3 linked regions of the Mus musculus genome follow. The protein of the gene in region 2 interacts with the protein of the main gene of each other region in a pairwise test. Links are inferred from orthologs where the notes say so. Each region holds a gene or a part of one and is shown on either strand. Other genes may lie near its edges.

Evidence for each region.
Region 1: the proteins of Cul3 (region 2) and Rhobtb2 interact in a two-hybrid assay, tested with the Homo sapiens proteins (2 studies listed by BioGRID). The link is inferred for Mus musculus from reciprocal best matches to the Homo sapiens genes CUL3 and RHOBTB2.
Region 3: the proteins of Cul3 (region 2) and Abtb1 interact in binary tests that used the Homo sapiens proteins (3 or more experiments, as listed by UniProt). The two-hybrid records come from large-scale screens. The link is inferred for Mus musculus from reciprocal best matches to the Homo sapiens genes CUL3 and ABTB1.

What each region holds. Positions count from the first base shown.
Region 1 is NC_000080.6:69,794,479-69,801,324, reverse strand, and holds part of Rhobtb2 (rho-related BTB domain-containing protein 2), read left to right. Parts: intron 1-124; exon of another isoform or gene 125-305; intron 306-505; coding exon of another isoform or gene 506-515; coding exon 516-707; intron 708-1,543; coding exon 1,544-1,647; intron 1,648-3,000; coding exon 3,001-3,186; intron 3,187-4,032; coding exon 4,033-5,051; intron 5,052-5,306; coding exon 5,307-5,425; intron 5,426-6,846. UniProt on the Homo sapiens protein: Regulator of cell proliferation and apoptosis. It likely functions as a substrate-adapter that recruits key substrates, e.g. MSI2, to CUL3-based ubiquitin ligase complexes for degradation. Required for MSI2 ubiquitination and degradation.
Region 2 is NC_000067.6:80,262,823-80,269,436, reverse strand, and holds the end of Cul3 (cullin-3), read left to right. Parts: intron 1-81; coding exon 82-227; intron 228-2,149; coding exon 2,150-2,281; 3' UTR 2,282-4,514; downstream 4,515-6,614. UniProt on the Homo sapiens protein: Core component of multiple cullin-RING-based BCR (BTB-CUL3-RBX1) E3 ubiquitin-protein ligase complexes which mediate the ubiquitination and subsequent proteasomal degradation of target proteins.
Region 3 is NC_000072.6:88,836,915-88,843,760, reverse strand, and holds the start of Abtb1 (ankyrin repeat and BTB/POZ domain-containing protein 1), read left to right. Parts: upstream 1-1,825; 5' UTR 1,826-1,936; coding exon 1,937-1,992; intron 1,993-2,860; coding exon 2,861-2,923; intron 2,924-2,995; coding exon 2,996-3,051; intron 3,052-3,989; coding exon 3,990-4,134; intron 4,135-4,270; coding exon 4,271-4,430; intron 4,431-4,530; coding exon 4,531-4,576; intron 4,577-4,799; coding exon 4,800-4,916; intron 4,917-5,004; coding exon 5,005-5,123; intron 5,124-5,282; coding exon 5,283-5,381; intron 5,382-5,475; coding exon 5,476-5,643; intron 5,644-6,846. Other genes in the region: Podxl2 (podocalyxin-like protein 2), read left to right, coding at 75-254, 764-994. UniProt on the Homo sapiens protein: May act as a mediator of the PTEN growth-suppressive signaling pathway. May play a role in developmental processes.

The sequences.
Region 1 (6,846 bases), on a different chromosome or scaffold from region 2:
GCCGCCCCAGCCCTGACACGTCCATTAAATTTTAAAGTGACTCTGCCCTGGAGCATGCTGGGAAGGGGTGGGACCTGGCCCTAAGTCTGCTTCTCTCAGCTGTTTTGTTCTGCTGCTGCCACAGCCCCAGGGAAGAGGAGGCCAACAGAGGATGAGTGAGCTACCAAGCCGATTCCCTCTCTCTGGGGAAGTGGGGCCAGGTCCAAAGCAGGTCCTGCCCTGGAATCTCTCACAGACTGCCTCCGTTCAGGAGCCCAGCTGCAGGATGGTGGGAGACCAGAGGGAGAGGAGCCATCCATCTGGTGGTATTGCCACTCAGCCTGCACGAGCTACTGTTTCCTAGGGCCCCTGTAAAGTTGCCCACTTCTCTCTCTTTATGTCAGTGCCAATGCTTGACAGAGAGACAGAGCCAGCTGAGGAGGAGGGCTGCTTACACTGACCCTGGTCCTCGGGGGTAGAGCATGCTGAACTGTCCTGATGGCTCCTTTCTTGCCATTCATTTCAGGTCCCAATTAATGGATTCTGACATGGATTATGAAAGGCCAAACGTAGAGACCATCAAGTGCGTGGTGGTGGGGGACAACGCCGTGGGCAAGACTAGGCTCATCTGTGCCCGGGCCTGCAATGCCACCCTCACCCAGTACCAGTTGCTTGCCACCCATGTGCCCACAGTGTGGGCCATTGACCAGTATCGTGTGTGCCAGGAGGTAAGACTACAAGGCCCCTTGGTTGGGGGCCCCCGTGCTATGTGTGTTGAACTGGCTTGGTGTCTCTGGAGCTCCTGAGAGCCCCTAGGGGTGGGGTCGAGGTGGATGAAGCAGATGGAGCCTCTGGAGAGAGGTCTGAGGGAAGGTCACTCCCAGGGAGGTATCTCTGACCATTTGTGTTTGCAGTGATATTCAGGTTACTGTTTCTATTGCTGGGATGAAAAACCATGACCAAAAGCAAGTTGGAGAGGTAAGGGTTTGTTTGGCTTACACTTCCACACCATAGTCCATCACTAAAAGGAGTCAGGATAGGAACTCAAGCAGGGCTGGAGCTGATGCTGAGGCCATGGAGGAATGCTGCTTACTGGCTTGCTCCTCATGGCTTGCTCAGCCTGCTGTCTTATAGAACCCACGACCACCAGCCCAGGGATGGCACTACACACCATAGGTTCCCCAGTCAGTCACTAATTAAGAAGATAACCTGCAGCTGGACCTCATGGAGACGTTTTCTCAAGTTAGCTTCCCTCCTTTCAGATAGCTCTAGCTTGTGTCACGTTGAAACGAAACGAGCCAGCACAACTAGGTAAGGCGGTGGCTAGGATTCTGACTTTGGCTGAGAACCGTGTCTGCAATCACAGTCCAAAGTAATAACATGTTCTTCTGCAGCAAGGAGTGTGCTCTTTTAAGGTCTCCCCTGCTTCCGCTCAGCGTGGAGATTGCCAGTGATTTCATGTGGGCAGCAGGTTGTACAAGACACTTGTACCAGTCCTGTCCTCCCCATCAGTTCTTGGCATCTGTTCCCAAGAACCACTGTCCTGTCTCCCCACCATGCCCAGGTGCTAGAACGCTCCCGAGATGTGGTAGATGACGTCAGCGTCTCCCTGCGCCTCTGGGACACCTTCGGAGACCACCACAAAGACCGGCGTTTTGCTTATGGAAGGTAGGGAAGGCCTTGGGGGCTTGCAGTGAGAGGAGGGGATGCGGTGGTGGTGGGCATTCCCTGGGGTGGAAGACGTTCTGGGCTCAGAGGCATGGTGCAGAGTCCCAGCTCTGCAACCGACTAACTCTGAGCAGCGCCGGCATGGCTTTTCTCACTGTGAGTTGGCGATCAGTTCTTTCTTCCTTTATTTTCTTTTTTCTTTCAATGCTGGATATTGAACCTAGGGCCTTGTGCATCATAGGCAAGTGCCCTACCACTGAGCTATATCTATCTCTAGCCCTTTGCAAAGCAAAACAAACAAGAGAAGAACCATATTTTGAGATAAGATCTTCCAGTGCCCACCTCACCCAGGCAGCCTTGAACTAGAAGTTCTCTGCCTCAGACTTCCCAAATAGCTTGCCTGTAACACCAGGTCTGGCAAAGTAGGAATGTGTGTGTGTGTGTGTGTGTGTGTGTGTGTGTACATAGATATGTTTATTGGCATTTACATGTTCATGTGTGTGCAAATTTGCAGGGAGGGTGTCTTGTACCTGTGTGTATATCTGATGGGCTGAGGTAAACATGTCTTCTTTACTCTCCAACTTAGGGTTTTTGCTGTTGTTGTTATTGTTGTTGTTTTTGGTTTGGTTTTGGTTTTGGGTTGTTGTTGTTGTTTGAGACAGGGCTTTTTTTTTTTCTTTTAAGATTTATTTATTATTATATCTAAGTACACTGTAGCTGTCTTCAGATGCACCAGAAGAGGGTGTCAGATCTCATTATGGATGGTTGTGAGCCACCATGTGGTTGCTGGGATTTGAACTCAGGACCTTCGGAAGAGCAGTTGGTGCTCTTAACCACCGAGCCATCTCTCCAGCCTGAGACAGGGCTTTGTACTGAACCAGGCACATACAATTTTGGCTGGTCTTGCTGGATAGAGTAGAGAGCCCCAAGGATTCTACTCCTCCTCCCCCCTGACACTCCACACCCCACCCCACCCCACCCACTGTCGCTGTGGCGGGGACAAAAATGCCTGTAGCCATGCTTGGCTTTTTCCGTGAATGTTGGAGCACCGGGGATCTGAACTCAAGTCCTCATGCCTGCATGGGAGTCGCTCCCTCCACTTAGCCGTATCCCCAGCTCCAAGCGATCGTTTTTTTAACTCCTGAGATAGCTGTGTGGCCAAGCGAATCTCTGTGCTTTAAAATGCCTACGTAAATTGTAGTCACGATTATTATGTACCGTGCGGAAACGAGTTCTTAAGGCAGGGCTAGGTTGTAGTGGGGGGGGGGGGGGATAGGGCCAAGCCAACATGTTTTCCTTTTTCCAGGAGACCACCATGAGCTTTCTGTGCCGCTAACTTTTCTCCCCCCACAGATCCGACGTGGTGGTTTTGTGTTTCTCCATCGCCAACCCCAATTCCCTCCACCATGTCAAGACCATGTGGTACCCAGAAATCAAGCATTTCTGCCCCAGAGCTCCTGTCATTCTGGTGGGCTGCCAGCTGGACCTGCGCTATGCTGACCTGGAAGCCGTTAACAGGGCCAGGAGACCTCTGGCTAGGTAGGGGTACTGGTGTCCAGGGAGAGAGGGAAGGGACATGGGGACAGGGTATCACTGTGGCTCCCTGCTCAACCAGGAAGGAGACCCACTGACCCTTATATTTCTCCTTTCACTTGGAACAAATTCACATCAAAATCAACAACAAACATGCTCATTCATTCATTCACTCACTCACTCACTCAATTCATCCTTCTATATCATTGTATACCCCCTATGGGGACGGTCTTGTTCTGTATTCCATGAGGAAAGACAGAGAGGAGAAGACGTGTGTGTGTGTGTGTGTATGTGTGTGTGTGTATACACATATGAATGAATGGGTCTTAGAATTCTGCAGTGCTAATATAGTTGGCTCTTCATATCATGAGTTCCATAGCTGTGGGCTCAGCCAGCTTGGCTGTCCTGGAACTCACTCTGTAGACCAGGCTGGGCTCGAACTCAGAAATCCGTCTGTCTCTGCCTCCCAAGTGCTGGGATTAAAGGCGTGAGCCACCACTGCCCGGCCCACAGTGACATTTTATACAAGGGACTTGAGTTTCCATAGATTTGGAATCTGAGGTGTACCCTGGAACTGATCCTCTTCAGATACTAAGGGATATCTGTCTGTCTGTGATTAAATGCCAGTGTGAAGCTTTTGCATGCGGGTTACCAGAGGGGGAGGTGCAGCCCCTGCTTCGAACTGGGGCAGTCAGTAGGGTCTAACATAGAAAAAATGAAGCTTTCCTAAAGGACCGGAGGGCCAGGCAGAAAAGACAAGGACAGATGCGGGCAGATCCTCCCACCTGGAAGAAAATGGCCAGGCTCCTACCATTACCAACACAAGTTTGTTCTCCCTTCTTTATTCACCAGGCCCATCAAGCCCAATGAAATCCTCCCCCCAGAGAAGGGTCGGGAAGTCGCCAAAGAGCTGGGGATCCCTTACTACGAGACCAGTGTGGTGGCCCAGTTTGGTATCAAGGACGTCTTTGACAATGCCATTCGGGCTGCGCTCATCTCCCGCCGCCACCTGCAGTTCTGGAAATCACATCTGCGCAATGTGCAGCGGCCTCTACTGCAAGCACCCTTCCTCCCCCCCAAGCCACCGCCCCCCATCATCGTGGTGCCCGATCCCCCCTCCAGCAGCGAGGAGTGCCCCGCCCACCTCCTGGAAGACCCGCTCTGTGCGGATGTCATCCTGGTGCTGCAGGAGCGCGTGCGCATCTTTGCCCACAAAATCTACCTCTCCACCTCCTCCTCCAAATTCTATGACTTATTCCTCATGGACCTGAGTGAGGGGGAGCTGGGGGGCCCCTCAGGGTCAGGGGGGCCCCGCCCAGAGGACCACCGGAGCCACCCTGAACAACACCACCATCATCACCATCACCACCATGGGCGGGACTTCCTGCTTCGGGCAGCCAGCTTTGACGTATGTGAGAGTGTGGATGAGGCCGGCGGCTCTGGTCCGGCTGGCCTAAGGGCTTCAACCAGTGACGGGATCTTACGGGGTAATGGAACAGGGTACCTGCCAGGCAGAGGACGTGTGCTGTCTTCCTGGAGCCGAGCTTTTGTGAGTATCCAGGAAGAGATGGCAGAGGATCCTCTGACCTTCAAATCCCGGCTGATGGTGGTGGTGAAGATGGATAACTCCATTCAGCCGGGGCCCTTCCGGGCTGTTCTCAAGTACCTGTACACAGGGGAGCTAGGTGAGAATGAGCGGGACCTCATGCACATTGCTCACATTGCCGAGCTGCTAGAGGTCTTTGATCTACGAATGATGGTGGCCAACATTCTCAACAACGAAGCCTTCATGAATCAGGAGATCACCAAGGCCTTCCATGTACGCCGGACCAACCGGGTTAAGGAGTGTTTGGCAAAGGGCACCTTTTCAGGTATGGGACACACTTAGAAGAAGGGGTTCTCTCCAGGAAAAATTTTGAGGGGTCTAGGTTATCCCCTTATTATTCGGAATTGCCATGAAGATATGGCTGTCCTGCTCTCAAGCTAATAGCTTGATGATCTGCAGCCTGTTACTCATATCACATGGCTCCAGAAGGCAGGTGGGTAGTCAGGGCCCTGTGACTGCTTGGGGCCGATTCTCCAGCATATCCACTGTGTCCTTACACGATGCCTCTTCTCCTGGACAGATGTGACCTTCATCCTGGATGATGGGACCATCAGCGCCCATAAGCCCCTGCTGATTTCCAGCTGTGACTGGATGGCTGCCATGTTTGGGGGGCCATTTGTGGAGAGTTCTACCAGGGAGGTGAGGCTGGAGATGGGAAGGGAGACGATGGGAGAGGCATTTACATCTTTGAATTTGAGCATCGGTTAATGGTACTTCCCTGGGCTCCAGTCATATTCTAAGCCCAGTGTAGACCCAAAACACGTTTATAAGATGCTTCCAATAGCCAAGGATTTTTCAATGTTCCAAGAGAGGAAATTACAGTATCTTAGTAGTTTGGAAAGCTCTTTCATATATATCTCATTTAATTTTTCCCAGATGTACATATAGCAAGCCGAACCTGTTATATGCAAGAAAGGGATGCCCTGAGAAGTTACGCAACTTGCACAAAGTTATGCAACTAGGAAAAAAAAAAAAAAAAGAGGGTAGGTCTGGAACTTAGGATTGACAGTTCCTTGGTTCCTTAATTGTACTCTGTGGCTTCCCTAAGACACATGGGAAAGCCTCTGTTCCAAGCTGAAGTGAGCAGTGTCTACAAAGGTTTTATCATTGTTGAGCTATGGAGAGACCAACAGATCAGGAGAAGATGCCACTGGCAAGGTGGCTTGATAGAGATCCCAAGGAGGGTAAATGCACCCCAAGAGAGAAGAGCGGGAGTCAGCCAGTACATAGAGGTGGAGGTATTCCGGTCGTTTGATACCTGACTCTTGGGTGATTGGTATAGGAAATGGTAGAGAGGTGTGTGAGTGTGGAAAAGGAGGTCCACTTGCAGGTAGCTCCTTTGCTAGCTCTAGAACTGGCTGGCTAGGCTACAAAGGACCTCCCAGGCTCTAGAAGTCAGGGCATCCAATATAGAGTATAAAAGCACATAATGAACACAATCCCCTTTCTCTCTCATCATTGCCCATCAGCTGACCCACCTTCCTCCTCACTTGCCACCCTCTTGGGTACCAGCTCAGCCTAGAGTTGGAAGGGGTTTGTTGATGAGCCCTTAGAGATGTTCTCCTGCATCCGGTCCCTCTTCTGTCCTCCTAGACAAGCAGAGTAGCCCGGTGACAGCCTTTGGTGTTTTCCATCATCTCTGTCTCCTGCTTGTCTGTCATTTCTTTGAAGTGGGGGGGGGGGTCATGTTATTTGACTTCTGCCAGGTACCCCTACTGCCCCCAAATTCCCACCCCTTCAGACCATGCTCACTAGATCCTTGACTGAAAAAACCAAACCAAACCAAAACAAAACAAAACCAAGGACCATCAACAGTCATGCTGGGTGAATTAGAAATGTGAGCTCCCTAAGGCTTCTGGGAAGGGTAAGCTGAATAGTTAAGAACTGGACTGGTCTCTGAAGTGGGAGAAGGAGTTGGACACAAAGAATATGGCCAGGATTCTTAGAAGCCCCCCTGAAGGGGGCCTGTGCACCCTGGGCATTTCTCAGCACCACAGACACACATTTTAAAGCTCTACCCTGTTCTCAGCAAGCCTAGAGTGAAATCCATCTGATTAAAA
Region 2 (6,614 bases):
AATAATACTAAATTATTTTACATTTTATTATAAGCCAAATTTTTAATCACTTTTATGATAAATGGTTTTATTTCTATTTAGTTGCAGCCAAACAAGGTGAATCCGACCCAGAAAGGAAAGAAACAAGACAGAAAGTAGATGATGACAGAAAACATGAGATAGAAGCTGCTATAGTGCGAATAATGAAGTCTAGGAAGAAGATGCAGCACAATGTTTTAGTAGCAGAGGTAAGGACACTTGAAGCTTGGGTCAAACTCATTGTCACACAGCACTGCTCACCAAGAGCAAAATACTGTACATAAACACCTGCATATCAATATACCTTTATAAACAAAAGACTTGTATTTCTGAATATTAGTACTTTTTTTTAAGAGCTTCTTAACGTAACTTAGGGAATCAATACTCATGAGAAGCGGTTAACATAGTTAAGTCTTGAGAAGTAGAGCTGACAGTACATTAACCTATGATGGCGATTGAGAAGGATGGGTTTAGCCTCCTGAGTTTCTGGCTTGAATGAGTAGACAGAAGTTGAGCCCTTAACTACCGAGTAAGAGAGAATACGTGCTTGTGTGGGCCATATCTTAATTAATAAATGGACAGTTGACTTTACTATATACTGACATATGCATGGGCAGTCGATTGTGGCACTAAATGTCTGTAAAAAATTGAGAAGGCCAGATGTTGAATTGGGAACTCACTTTGTATGGAAATACAGTCAGAACTGAGTCTATATTAAGTTGCTCAGGAGTACCATAGGAAATAACAACAACAAAAAAAGCAGTAAGAAAGAGCCCATATTTGGGAGCAATAAGAATGCTTAATGAATGACACTGAGAAGAAACCAACCCTTTTAAAGGGGTTCTTTCTGAACCAGCTGTGCTAATGTCACAAGTCTTAGAAGTAGAGGTTCCTGGACCACCCAGACTTAACTGAATCAGAAATTCTAGAGTCAGCAATCTGGCCTCTCACAGGCTCTGCTTAGGTGATTATGAAATGTGTTCAAATCCAGAGTTGATGTTTTTGAGAGTTAATTACAATTTAGACCTTGCAAGGAAGGAGAATAAATGTAAAATCTGTTCACAGTCTGTAAGATAGAGTTAAGGATTGGCAGTTTCAAGTGGGTGGTAGCAAGATTTTTGTTGTTGAGCAAGGTTTTTGGTTCTAGAATGGTAATTGTAGAAGGATGATAGATTGTAGTTGGCATAGTTAAGTGCTAAAATTTGACATTTCAAAGTATTTCCAATAATTGCATGTTGGAAAATAGCCTTGATTAACAAGAGTAAAAGAAAATCTGGCTCATAGGATGAATGATGAGTCAGGGTGGATTATTGAAATGACCATGAGCTTTGAGGACAAAGGTTTAGATTCCCTCTGGTTCTGTCACTAATTGTTAATACCAACTTTATTTCCTTTGTAAAATGAAACAGCCTACCTTGCAGTTAAAAATCTGTCTCTGTCTCCGTGTGTGTGTGTGTGTGTGTGTGTGTGTGTGTGTGTGTGTGTGTGTGTGTAGATAAATATTGTGATTAACAGACTGGCTGCTACAGTGAACGTTTTACTGGTAGAACCATACTTAAGATCTGACTGTGACTAGAGCAAAGAATGCCAGAAGTTGCTCTTAGTATTGGGTGCCATTGCTGTAAAGGATTTTATCTGTTAACTCATCTCTGAGATCCCAGAGCTGGACTGAGATGAATCAGGAATTTAAACCCAGGCAGTCTGGAACCAGGACTTTTGCTTATAAACACGCTATCCTACCAGGTTCTGTGAACTGGGAAGGTAACCCAGAAGTTAATAATATCATCAACATGATTAAACTATATTCTGGTATGTATTCAGAATACTGAAATCTAACTAATCCTCGTTAGCATCCATATTTTGACACAAAGAAGTATGTTTTTAAACATCCATTAAATTTTCAAGTAAAAGCTTTAAAATTTTTGTACTTTTTCTTGTCTAGTTCTTACCTCACATCCCCAAGTACTAAGATTATAGGTATTAGGCACCATGCTTGGTGCATCTAACTTTTTTTAAATCAGGTCACTAAATTTTTCAGCTTTAAATGGCATGTCGGCTCTAGTAAAAAGATAGGGATTTTTGTTTGTCTATGTGGAAGTGTTTTAGTTAAGACTTTACTTTTTCTTTTTAGGTAACTCAGCAACTGAAGGCTCGATTCTTACCAAGTCCAGTTGTTATTAAGAAACGTATTGAAGGACTTATTGAGAGAGAATATTTGGCACGAACACCTGAGGATCGCAAAGTATACACATATGTAGCATAAAATGCATTCAGAAATTTGATTTATTCTTGGACTGTACTCTTCGCATGGACTGGGAAGTTCTTTTAAATCATACTATTAAGACGACCATCTCTTCTGTTAAATTGCAGTACGTGTTATAGACCACTCAGATCAAGCCTCTACTCCCTCTGAGAGTTTTCAACATCAGTTGATTGAGCTTCAGGCTTTCCAACGTTATCCCTGTAGAGATCATCTTTACAGTTCCTCGGGAAAATGTGAATGTGCCGCGTTTTGTTTTCAATATTGTATGAAAACAGGAAAAAAATAAAACAAATTTAGAAAACACAGCTCATTAAAATAAAATTGTTGGATTTCATTTCCCCAGGTCTTCAGTGTTGATGTAAATGTGTTTCTGTAGTGTTGCTTATTAGCACTTTGCGCATTGTGTAAGTTGGGTAGCAAAAATGGCAAAAGAGATGCAAAATTCCCAGTTATCTTGCTCTGCTTGTGACATTTCCTTCGCTGGTATTGTTTAAAGGTTTGATACATATACAAAGACCCAGGCATACAATTGGCGCATGCTTTATCCTACCACTTGCACTTCCTAGTCTCACAGCCTTATGACCAAGGACCTTTATTTGGACATCAATACATACCCTGACTTGTTTTTCTCTATTGTAATCTGAGGTTTTCCAAATTAAGTTCTAAGATTATTAGGTTTTGCTCTGAGTTATTTCTAGAGAAAGAAAATATTTTAGTATGTATAAATTGTACAATAATTTTTTTGCTGTTGTACTTACTGCTAACAGTGGATTGTATAGGGTGGTGTTTTTATTTCATTTATTGTAGACAAAATAAATAAATTTAGTATTCACATACACACTAACTCAAGTATGTCAGAGCACAAAGGTGGCAGCTGGTTCTATTTAATTTAGTTCCTTTGAAAAGCACATCCATCCATTCTACCATTTGTTTATAAATATATCCCCCATCCCCCCACACACAGTTTAAATATATATTTTGGTGAAGCTGTGGTACACCATTAATTGTTTCAAAATGCAATCTAAAGATGCAATAAATAGAGTACCTTGATAGTTTGAAGGAATTCTTCAGTTCTTGCAGCTGTGTTTTAGAAAGTGATTAAGCAATATTTTTCAAACGTGGATATTTAGCTATCCATTGTCCTCTGAAGAGTCCTTTTCATGTTTTCAAAGATGTGCTTTGTGCTGAAGATTTGTGTGTCCGTTCCTCTGTGCTTCCAACTATCACTGAAGTCTTCTACCTGATTGATCTGCCAAGGATTATAGTTTGCTTTAACTTCAGAGTATTTTTATCTTCCATTTTATTTAATTTTGTTCCTTTTTCTTTTCTTTCAAGATAATGTTTTAGATATGTAATTGGGGAAAACCACTAGATTTCTGTCAAAAAAATGAAATGTTACTGAATTCAAGTAACCAACTCTCCATTGAATATCAATACTGTTGATATACTTATTAGAATGTATGTCTCAGAAGATGGTTTCTGTTAAATATATGAAGTTACAATTACTGAATTCTAATATGGATTAAAAGCTCCACATAAATATTTTCCCCATGCGTCTTGGATTATAATTTTCCTTTTAGACTTGCTTTTATTGCATTTAAATTTGCTTTTATATGTACTGTTAATTTTAAGTCTTAGGATCTTAATCTCTACATGTTCTCCACCTTTCCATGAGACAGTAAAGGTGTGGGCAGTACGGACAGGTTCTCGGTGCACCTTGCTGTGCTTGCACAGGTACGGTGGGACACTGATGGATTGCTTTCTGGTGTAAATAGAATTTTTACGAAGGAAGCTACTTTTAACAGTTTGGAAGTGAAGACAGCTCAGCTGTACAGATTAGGTCTAATGTATATGTAGGGACATAAAGGTTTGCTAATTGTTCTGGTAGATGCTTGCTTCTGAGTTAAAGTAAATGTATTTGTTGGGCAATGCTGGCTCTGCTACCTTACAAAATTCATGTGATGCATTTGGTATTTCTCAGCAATAGGTCATTGACATTTTTATCCTCTAAATGTTTTAAAAGAATAATGTGATGAGATTCTTTTTTGTGACTTGAATTTTAGGAAAGATGGATAATTTTTCCAGCTATAAAAAATGATGTCATTAATTGTTAAGTTATTCTTTGCTGTCATTCTTTGTGGGACAGCATTTTTTTATTTGTCATTTAAATATTGAAAATTTATTCCAATTAGGAAACAGCTTCACAAAATAAAAAATATGGTTGTAATTCCAAGGATTCTTTATGTCAGTGAACTACAAATGGAATTAAAGGGATGCATGTGTGGGGCATTGTGAGCACAGGGCAGGAAGGCACTGGTTCAAGATCTGGAAGATACTAATACGCCTTTGCAGTGAGATTCTCAAGAACAGTGAAGTAGCGCTGACGTTTGTTTCCTCAGTATGCAGGACAAACAGAAAGGCTTAGGTAAGAGCCAATGCTCTAAAGATAATGTGTACATTTCCAGAAACTAGCACCCTTACTGACACCTTAATTTCTCTATTTGGGTCTAAATTTTAGTATATTTAGTCTACACAATGACCTTTTCAGGTTAATTTTGAATATCCACTTTGATCAAATAATACAATATCTTGCCCTTGTCTGTCTACTGCCCTTTTGAGAGTAGCCTAAGTTTTCATGTTCCATGTTTTACACAGCATAAGGCTCTCTCATCTTAGAAGGAAAACCTTTGTATTATTTGTATTATGTTTTGCCCTATATGGTACTTCTTTATGCAGTAAATATTTTATGTTCTATTGATAAGAATGGAAAATCTAAGTGAAACTAAATTATTTCTAGTCCTGAGAAGTCACACAGGTGTTTACTGTGTGCAGTCACTTGCGAGCTCTTTCTGATGGTTATTTAGTTGTCATGTCCTCTGACTTAACCATTATGTAAGATAGCTGCTGAAAAATGGCCAAGCCAATATTTAAACCTTGGTTTGATTCTAAGCTAGTACTCTGGAGTTTATGTCTGCGTCTTGTGTTGCAAGTGGATATATATGGTTTTCCATCTAAATCTGTCATTGTGTACATCATTTGCATGAAGCAGTGGATGATGTGTATCTCGGTATGGAATTCTGCATGTTTTTGTTGGTCCATGTTTGCTGATAACAACACTAGGCAAGAAGCAAGAATGATGGTGGCTGCTATTTTGGAACATGTCCATTTAAAGGATCCTGTACTCTACATTTCTTAGTGTGAGGATCACAAGGTAAGTGGTTAAGATCTACACTTAATTTTTTTTCTCCTTATTGCATGGTTTTCCATTCCAAGTCAGTTTTCCAAAAGGTACAGGACACAAAATGACAGTGAATTTAATGAGTCATAAAGCTAGCTCTTAGAAGAAATTGAGCAAAGCTTCATGTAATGTTCTTAGAAATGGCACATATGTAAACAAGACTTAAGTAATTTCTTCCTTAATATTTGGGTCTAACGATTCTGAGGGGGCCTCAATGAAATGACTTACAGTATATGAGAAGCTCCAAGTAGTGTGTGCTGTGTTTCTAGTTAATGAAGTAAAGTTTAAGCATTCTAATAAAGTACAGCTCATAGAGCATAAAGCTTTAATGTGCACAATTCTTGCAGTGTGAAAAATTAAGCTTCTGAGTCTCCAGATTATTTGTCTGTTATGATTGCTGAGTGACAGAATCTGGTGTGGTGGATGTGATAAATTCAAGATGTGCTTTGCCATTAGCAGGTAGGTAGGTAGCTACAAGTCTTAGAAACATTCAGCTTTCTAAGTTAAAATCTGTAATAAAACTCAGACAAAAACAGGTACAAGACAGTTCACCCTCAAAAATTTAAGGTGACACTATCAGTATTAATTCAGGAGCTTTATTTGGTGCATTTAACACAACTTATAATTACAAAATCCACTTTGCCTGTGTAAGTGAACAACACAGACACCTTATTGGCTCTCTGAAAGTCTTCATTCTATTTGGACCATAGAGAGGTAGGATATGTTACCTTTTAAAAATTGCAAATGGTTTTAAGTTGGTAGGCAAATGTTACAATAATTTCATATCATTTATAATCTCACAATCTTTCTAAGTAGATTAGATTTCAGTAAAAACTACCTTCTAAAGTAGTCCCCCACCCTTCCTGGGGTAGGGGTGTGCATAACTATATTACAATTAATATGCATGGTGCAGGATTTCATGCAAATGAAGTGTGATAGCAGCATTACAATTTAAATGCATTAAAGGAAAGGATAAATGCAGAAGCTTGCTGTTGGCTTAGATTATTGGCTTCTAGAAACTTTACTGGTTTAAAAAACAGAGCCTGGAGGGTGGGGGGAGGTGTGCAAAATCTCACTAATAGGACAGTGCTGGAA
Region 3 (6,846 bases), on a different chromosome or scaffold from region 2:
CCAGGGCTGTCAGGGGCTCTAACTCACCCTTGGAATGTTAGCTCTTAGGGCTTTCCTGATACCCCCACTCTTAGATTGGCATCCAGAACTACTCCACCACCAGCAGCTGCCAGGCACGAGCCACCCAGGTGCGCAGTGACTACGGGACGCTCTTTGTAGTGCTGGTGATCATTGGTGTCATCTGCTTCATCATCATTGTGCTTGGCCTACTCTACAATTGTTGGCAGCGCCGGATGCCCAAGCTCAAACACGTGGTGAGTAGGCCAGGGAGGGCTTAGGACTGTAGGGCAGAGTGTGGCTAGTATCACCCAGTGCTACCCAAGAGCCTCACCTAGAAACCTGTACCAACTCAGTTGTGCTCAGTGCCACCATCTACCCTCTCTGAGCCTGGTCTTCGAGGAGATACACAGTGAGGGGGAGTTAAGTCTCACCAAGGGATCCCTCCTCTCCTCCAGCTCTTCCTAACCCCAGTGCCCCATTCTGCAAGGCTTGAGAGCAGCTGCTCCCCTCAGTCCTAGAAGCCAAAGGCTCCTGCAACCTGCACAAGAGAAAGGGGGCAGGCCCTGCACATTCTGCCCTATCTCGTATGCTTTGAGTGGGCTGTCTCATGTATAATGCGCTGTTGGAAGGGATCAAGTGACACCAAGGGGGTCACAGGGTTTACCTGCAGAGGTTTAGGTTTGAGTTGCAGGCACTTGTATCCTGGGCCCCAAGGGAGTAGTACCCTGGGGGCTTGGCGTGGCCAACCACTGTGCGCGCCTAGCGCTCTCTCCTGCTGCTGCAGTCGCACGGTGAGGAGCTGCGCTTCGTGGAGAACGGCTGCCACGACAATCCCACGCTGGACGTGGCCAGCGACAGCCAGTCGGAGATGCAGGAGAAGCAGCCCAGCCTGAACGGTGGGGCCATCAACGGCCCGAGCAGCTGGAGCGCGCTCATGGGCAGCAAACGCGACCCTGAGGACTCGGACGTGTTCGAGGAGGACACTCACCTGTGAGCGCCGGGCCACGGGCGCGAGACTGCCCGACGCCACGGCCCCGCGCCCCTCCCGGTCCTCCACGCGGACCACTATGCTTCCCCACCGCAGCAGGCGACCGCGGCGCAGCTCCCACCCCGCCCTGCCCGGCCCCGAGCGCTTGCCCGAGGCCAGCGCGCTCCCCGCGCCAGGACTCCATTAAAGCCGCTAAGACGCGCGGGCCGCTCCGCCTCCACGCCTGTTTTTTGCCTTCCGAGGGCTGCACTCCGGGGAGTGGGTGGGATGGGCCTGGAGGAGTAGGTGGGGCAAGGGAGGCTGGCTGGGCGTGGCCAAGGACGGGTGGGCTGGGAATTTCATGGAGTTTGTGGGCGTGGTTAGGGATATGTGGGCGGAGGGTAGGGAGTATAAGGTCATCTGGGTGGAACCAGGCCGGGTGGGCTGAGCCTGAAGTAGGCTGGGAAAAGTCCTGGTGGGCGAGGCCTCGGCCTGATGTGCGGGACCTGAACCGAGCTAGACTCAGGACTGACAAGCGTTCCAAGCCTGTGGGAGGTGCTGTTTTCAGAACGGATCCCAAGAAATGTGGGCGGGGCCTGCAGCGAACTGCTCTTCCGGTGAAGCTCTTCTGAGGAGGCGGGGTCTTGGTAGTGAGCTATTCTTCGGGCGAGTGGGCGGAACCTGGGGGAATTGAGTTGTCCTCTAGACGGGTGGGCGGGGTGAAGGCTAGAAGTCCCCAGAGGCTAAGTGGGCGTGGTTAAGGTTACTGGGTGCGGCCTTGGGGAGCGGCCTTCTGGATGCGAGGGCGGGGTTCGGGCCGGACGGTCCTCCGGGCGGCAGGCGCCGCTGCGGAGTCGCAGGCGGGCATAGCTAGGCCGTGCCGCGAGGGGCGGGGCGGTGAGTGTTTACATCCGGCCGGGCACAGACGACTCCCGAGATCACTCGGCCGGGGGTCCAGTCTCTTTCGCCATGGATACCAGCGACTTGTTTGCCAGCTGCAGGAAAGGGGACGTGGGCCGTGTGCGGTGAGAACCTGAAGTGCAGGAGGCGGGCAGGCGTCCGCAGGGCTTATCGGGCACGGGTGTGGGGTTGGGCGCCGTGGGGCTCCCGAAGCTGACCGAGTCAGGGAGATCGGGCTCTAGGTCCCTTACTTAGCTCGGTGCAGGGAAACGACTCCTCTCCGTGGAGGTTCCAAGAGGCGCAGGCGCCGCTGGTGCAGCCAGTTACCAGCCTGGCGCCGAGACCGTGATCTCCGTGGGCAGGCAGGGAAGAGAAGGATCCTGACCCTTTTCTTTGATAGACTCCTTTCTCCCATGGCCCTTCCTTCCAAGTCCCCTGGTCCTCAACAGATGTGACCAAGCTGCAGCTCTCTCCGACACCAGATGCCACCTCAGAGTTAATGATCCGTCCCTCAATTTGAATGCAGCTCTGAGAGTTCAGGTCTTGCCTCAGATAGCCTCCTTGGGCTGCCATGTCCCAGTGATCGCTTTCTGGTTCATGACCTCTTCTCCTCAACATTTTATCAATTGTTTTTTCCACTTCTTCCATAGATCTGTTCTGTTCCCCTCCTTCCCCGCCCCCAGTGCCTGCATCAGCTTTCTTCTGACTTCCCTGCCATTGGCTCCCCAGGCTGAATTAGGGGCCCCATCACCTTCTCTCTCCCAGATATTAAAAGACCAAATTCTCAGCCTTCTGAACCTGGGGCTTGGCCTCTGTCCATGAAGCCATCACCCAACTCACAGTTGCAGACCCTTGCAGACCTGTGTAGTCCCAGGCCTTACCCTTCTCAGAGGCATTCCCTAGCCCAGAGAGATGTGGCCTCCTTCCCCTTCCTGGTTGTCTCTCTCCCAGATGAGAAGCAATTCTGACCCAGGCTTTGAACTTCCTGCCCAGGTACCTGCTGGAGCAGCGAGACGTGGAGGTGAACGTGCGGGATAAGTGGGACAGCACCCCTTTGTGAGTGTGAGCGGTGGGGTAGCTGGGTGGGCAGGGTGGGCCTACCCTACTGACAGCTTCCCCCTTTCCTAGGTACTATGCCTGCCTCTGTGGGCATGAGGAGTTGGTGCGCTACCTGTTGGCTAATGGTGAGAGAGGGTCAGGGTCTGCCTGTAAGCTCTGAGACCTTGCTCCATGTTTGTATGCACCCTTGATTTCTTGTTAACTCCCTAAAGTCAACACATAGTACTCTCTAACCCTCTATCCACTTTCTCACGTTACCCTTGACACCCAGGCCAGTTCTGGGGCTGTCTCCTGTACTGTACCACCATTGGTCTGCTAAACTGACTCTCTGATCTCCATATTTGCAGGCAGGAGGATCTTTCCACAGCAAAGCTGATGGGAGTGTTTGGGATAAAAGCACGTGGGCATGGTTGCCCACACCTGCAATTAAATTATTGGGAGAGAGAAAAGTCGAGACAGGGATTATCTTAAGTTCAAAGCTAGTCAGGGCTACATTGTGAGACCCACTCTGACCTCCTCTCACTTTGCCTTCCTTGGGTCTCCCACCTGCTGGCTGCCCCACTAGACCTACCCATCTCCTACCTCAGGGTCTTCTCAGTTGCAGTACTTCCTGCTTAGACTGGAGTTCCTTCCTAGATCTATGCATCTCCCGCTTCTTTCAAGTCCCTGTGCTTAGCCACCTCACTTCACAGTTCTCCCCATGTGGCTGCCACTGCCATAGTCACCCTTGGTTCTGTTTTGTAATAATGCCGGCTGTCATATAATAAACTATGCATGGGCTCCACTAGGTTCAGTTGGGGCAGGGATCTGCTAGTCACCAAGATGGCTATTTACAGGGCCAGCCCCTCAGTCTGGCCTTAACTGCATATAGTCCAATATTTACATGTGTATTCATGAGTATGCCTACATCTAAGTGCACAGATTGTATGCCTTGGCCTTCCCAAGGACCGAAGGGTTGCCTGGGCCTCTGTGGCAAGGAAGGGCCTCTGGGGAGCTGGGGAGGCCAGAGATCTCCCCAGACTAGGTGTTCCCTTGACTCTGACTGATGAGCATTGCTTTGTAGGAGCCCGCTGTGAGGCCAACACCTTTGATGGAGAGCGGTGTCTCTACGGAGCGCTAAGCGACCCTATTCGCCGTGCACTGAGAGACTACAAACAGGTCACTGCGTCCTGCAGGAGGCGGGATTACTATGACGATTTCCTGCAGCGGTGAGCTGGGGGTGGAGCTTGCAGTACTGCTGGGGTTGCTGGGCACTCTCAGTGGGTTCTGGTGGGTGGGTTTGCTGAGTGGTCCTGGTGCGCCAGCAGTTGTCAGGATGATGCAACCTTTCCTGGCTTTTCCCAGGCTTCTGGAACAGGGCATCCACAGCGATGTGGTCTTTGTGGTACACGGAAAGCCGTTCCGGGCCCATCGCTGTATCCTCGGTGCTCGCAGTACCTACTTCGCCAACATGCTGGACACCAAGTGGAAGGGCAAGAGCGTCGTGGTTCTCAGGCACCCCCTGGTGTGTCCATCTGCCTTGGGAGAGAGTGCCAGTTTCTGGGAGAACAGATAGTTCATGCTGGGTGGTAGCCTCTGACCTTCCCTTTCTACTCTGCCTGCAGATCAACCCGGTGGCCTTTGGGGCTCTACTGCAGTACCTGTATACAGGTGACTGACCGACCCCGTGGGCTGGGACAGCAGCACACCCAGGGTGGCCCAGAGCTGATGTCACCTTTGGGGAGGAGGAGTGTGCCCAGCATGACTTAACCTGTTTGGAGAGGACAGGTCCCATCTACAAATTGAGCAGGTCTTAGGTCCTTCCGGATGAGAAAACCAAGGTATTGAGTAGGAGTCACTCTCAGGTCCTGACTCAGCCTCCTCAATCCCCCAGGCCGCTTGGACATCGGTGTAGAACACGTGAGTGACTGTGAGCGCCTGGCCAAGCAGTGCCAGCTGTGGGACCTGCTGGATGACCTGGAGGCTAAGTGCGAGAAGGTGTCTGAATTTGGTGTGTACAGGGTCTCAGTCCAAGGTCTTGGGTTACAGCCTGCAGCTCTGGTCCACCTCTCTAAGTCCCTGCCGTCTTCTCCCCCCAGTGGCTTCCAAGCCTGGCACGTGTGTGAAGGTGCTGACTATTGAACCTCCTCCAGCAGATCCCCGGTTACGGGCAGATATGGCCCTGCTAGCTGACTGTGCCCTGCCATCTGAGCTGCGGGTATTGAAGGGCATGCCAGCTTGGTGGGCATGATGGGTGTCTAGGGATGGGGCTGTGAGGGGCAGGTTCCACAGAGCTGGGTTCCCTTCCTAGGCCAACCTAGAAGCTACTTCCCTTTCATGAACGGCTTTGCTCTGAGTCGTCTCTTTCCTATACCAGGGTGACCTTGGAGAGCTGCCCTTCCCATGTCCCGATGGCTTCAGCAGCTGCCCCGATATCTGCTTCCGAGTGGCTGACTCCAGCTTCCTCTGCTACAAGGTACCTGTCCCACCCCTGGCCGCGCTGCTCAAGCCCTGGGCTGGCCCCTTGGGGCAGATTCGAGCCCTGGTCCTTTGTGACCTTGCTTCCTCAGGCTTTCTTCTGTGGCCGCAGTGACTACTTCCGGGCCCTTCTGGATGACCACTTTCAAGAGAGTGAGGAGCCTGCAGCCTCTGGAGATCCCCCAGTTGTCACCCTGCATGACATCTCCCCGGACATCTTCATTCACGTGTTGTACTACGTATATAGTGACCATACCGAGGTGAAGTGGCGCCCAGCAGGAGGGCAGTGGTGAACAAGCCCTGGGCCGTCTGCCGTAGTGTTGTCACAGTCCTTGGGTCATTCCTGCACTTAGCTGTCCCAGAGTTCCTGAGCCAGGCCTGTGGGTGGCTTTAGACAGTACCAAAGGTTCCCTCTGTTGGTATGTGTTCATGGCAGTGTAGCAGGGCACTATACAGGAGAGAAGTGTATTTTCCATTGGGTCTGAGGGGTGAGGTGGCTTGCTGGGGTCCCAGGTGCCCCTTTGTCTGGTTTTTCCAGGGCATTGCCACAAATCTTCCCTAGGAAGGTAATGTTTTAAGGCTGGTGGGCCATATGGTATTGTCAGGGCTGTTCAGCCTCCAGGAAAGGTCTTTGTAGAAATGGTGGCCCTGACCCCCAGGCTGTGGCTCCCCCATCCTCTTTGTTCTCTGTTACTGAGATGGAACTACAGGAATCTGTGTCCCTACATCATTTTCTGGTGACCCCAGTCCTGGCCATCTGGCTCCCACCAACCTGCCCCCTCTGTATTAGGCTTTGTCACTAGCCTTCCTTCTGTCACTTCCCCTCACTTCCTTTCTCATGGCCTGCCACTCATTCTGAGGTTGAGTCTGAAATCCTGTGTCGCAAGCTCTCTCTGGAAGAAGCTTGGTACCCCAAGAACATTTTTAATAGCTCAGAGTGTGGACTGGCCTCTGAACATTGTCAAACAGTAGATTAGTCTCGGGAGCTGTGTGATCTTAGACAAGTTATATCCCTGCTCTGTGTTTCAGTGTATTCCCCAGAAGATGGAGAATAGTATGTTTCCTTGAGTCTTGAGCATATGACCAAACGACCAGAGAATAGTTAGGTGGCAGAGTGACATCCAGAAGTGTGGTGGCATAGTCCCTCTATTTTTTTTTCCCCTCTGCTCAGTCCCTAGGCCACCCAAGGTCTGAAGCTGGATTCTTGACCTTAGCCAAGGCCTAGCAGTCTCCTCCTCAAACTTGTGTGGTCTTTCACAGTGGAAGGAGCCATTCCCAAGCTGTGGGCTGGAATAGAAACCTCCAGCTCACTTTACTTTCTTTCAAGTCTTCCAAGGCTGGCATGAATCCTCTACAGATGAGGGGACTGAGATACAGAGGTGAAGGGACTTGCCTGGGACCCCACAGCTGGATGGGGAGAGCTCAGGTCTATGCCTGAGCCCACACTGCTTTTCCTAAAAGGC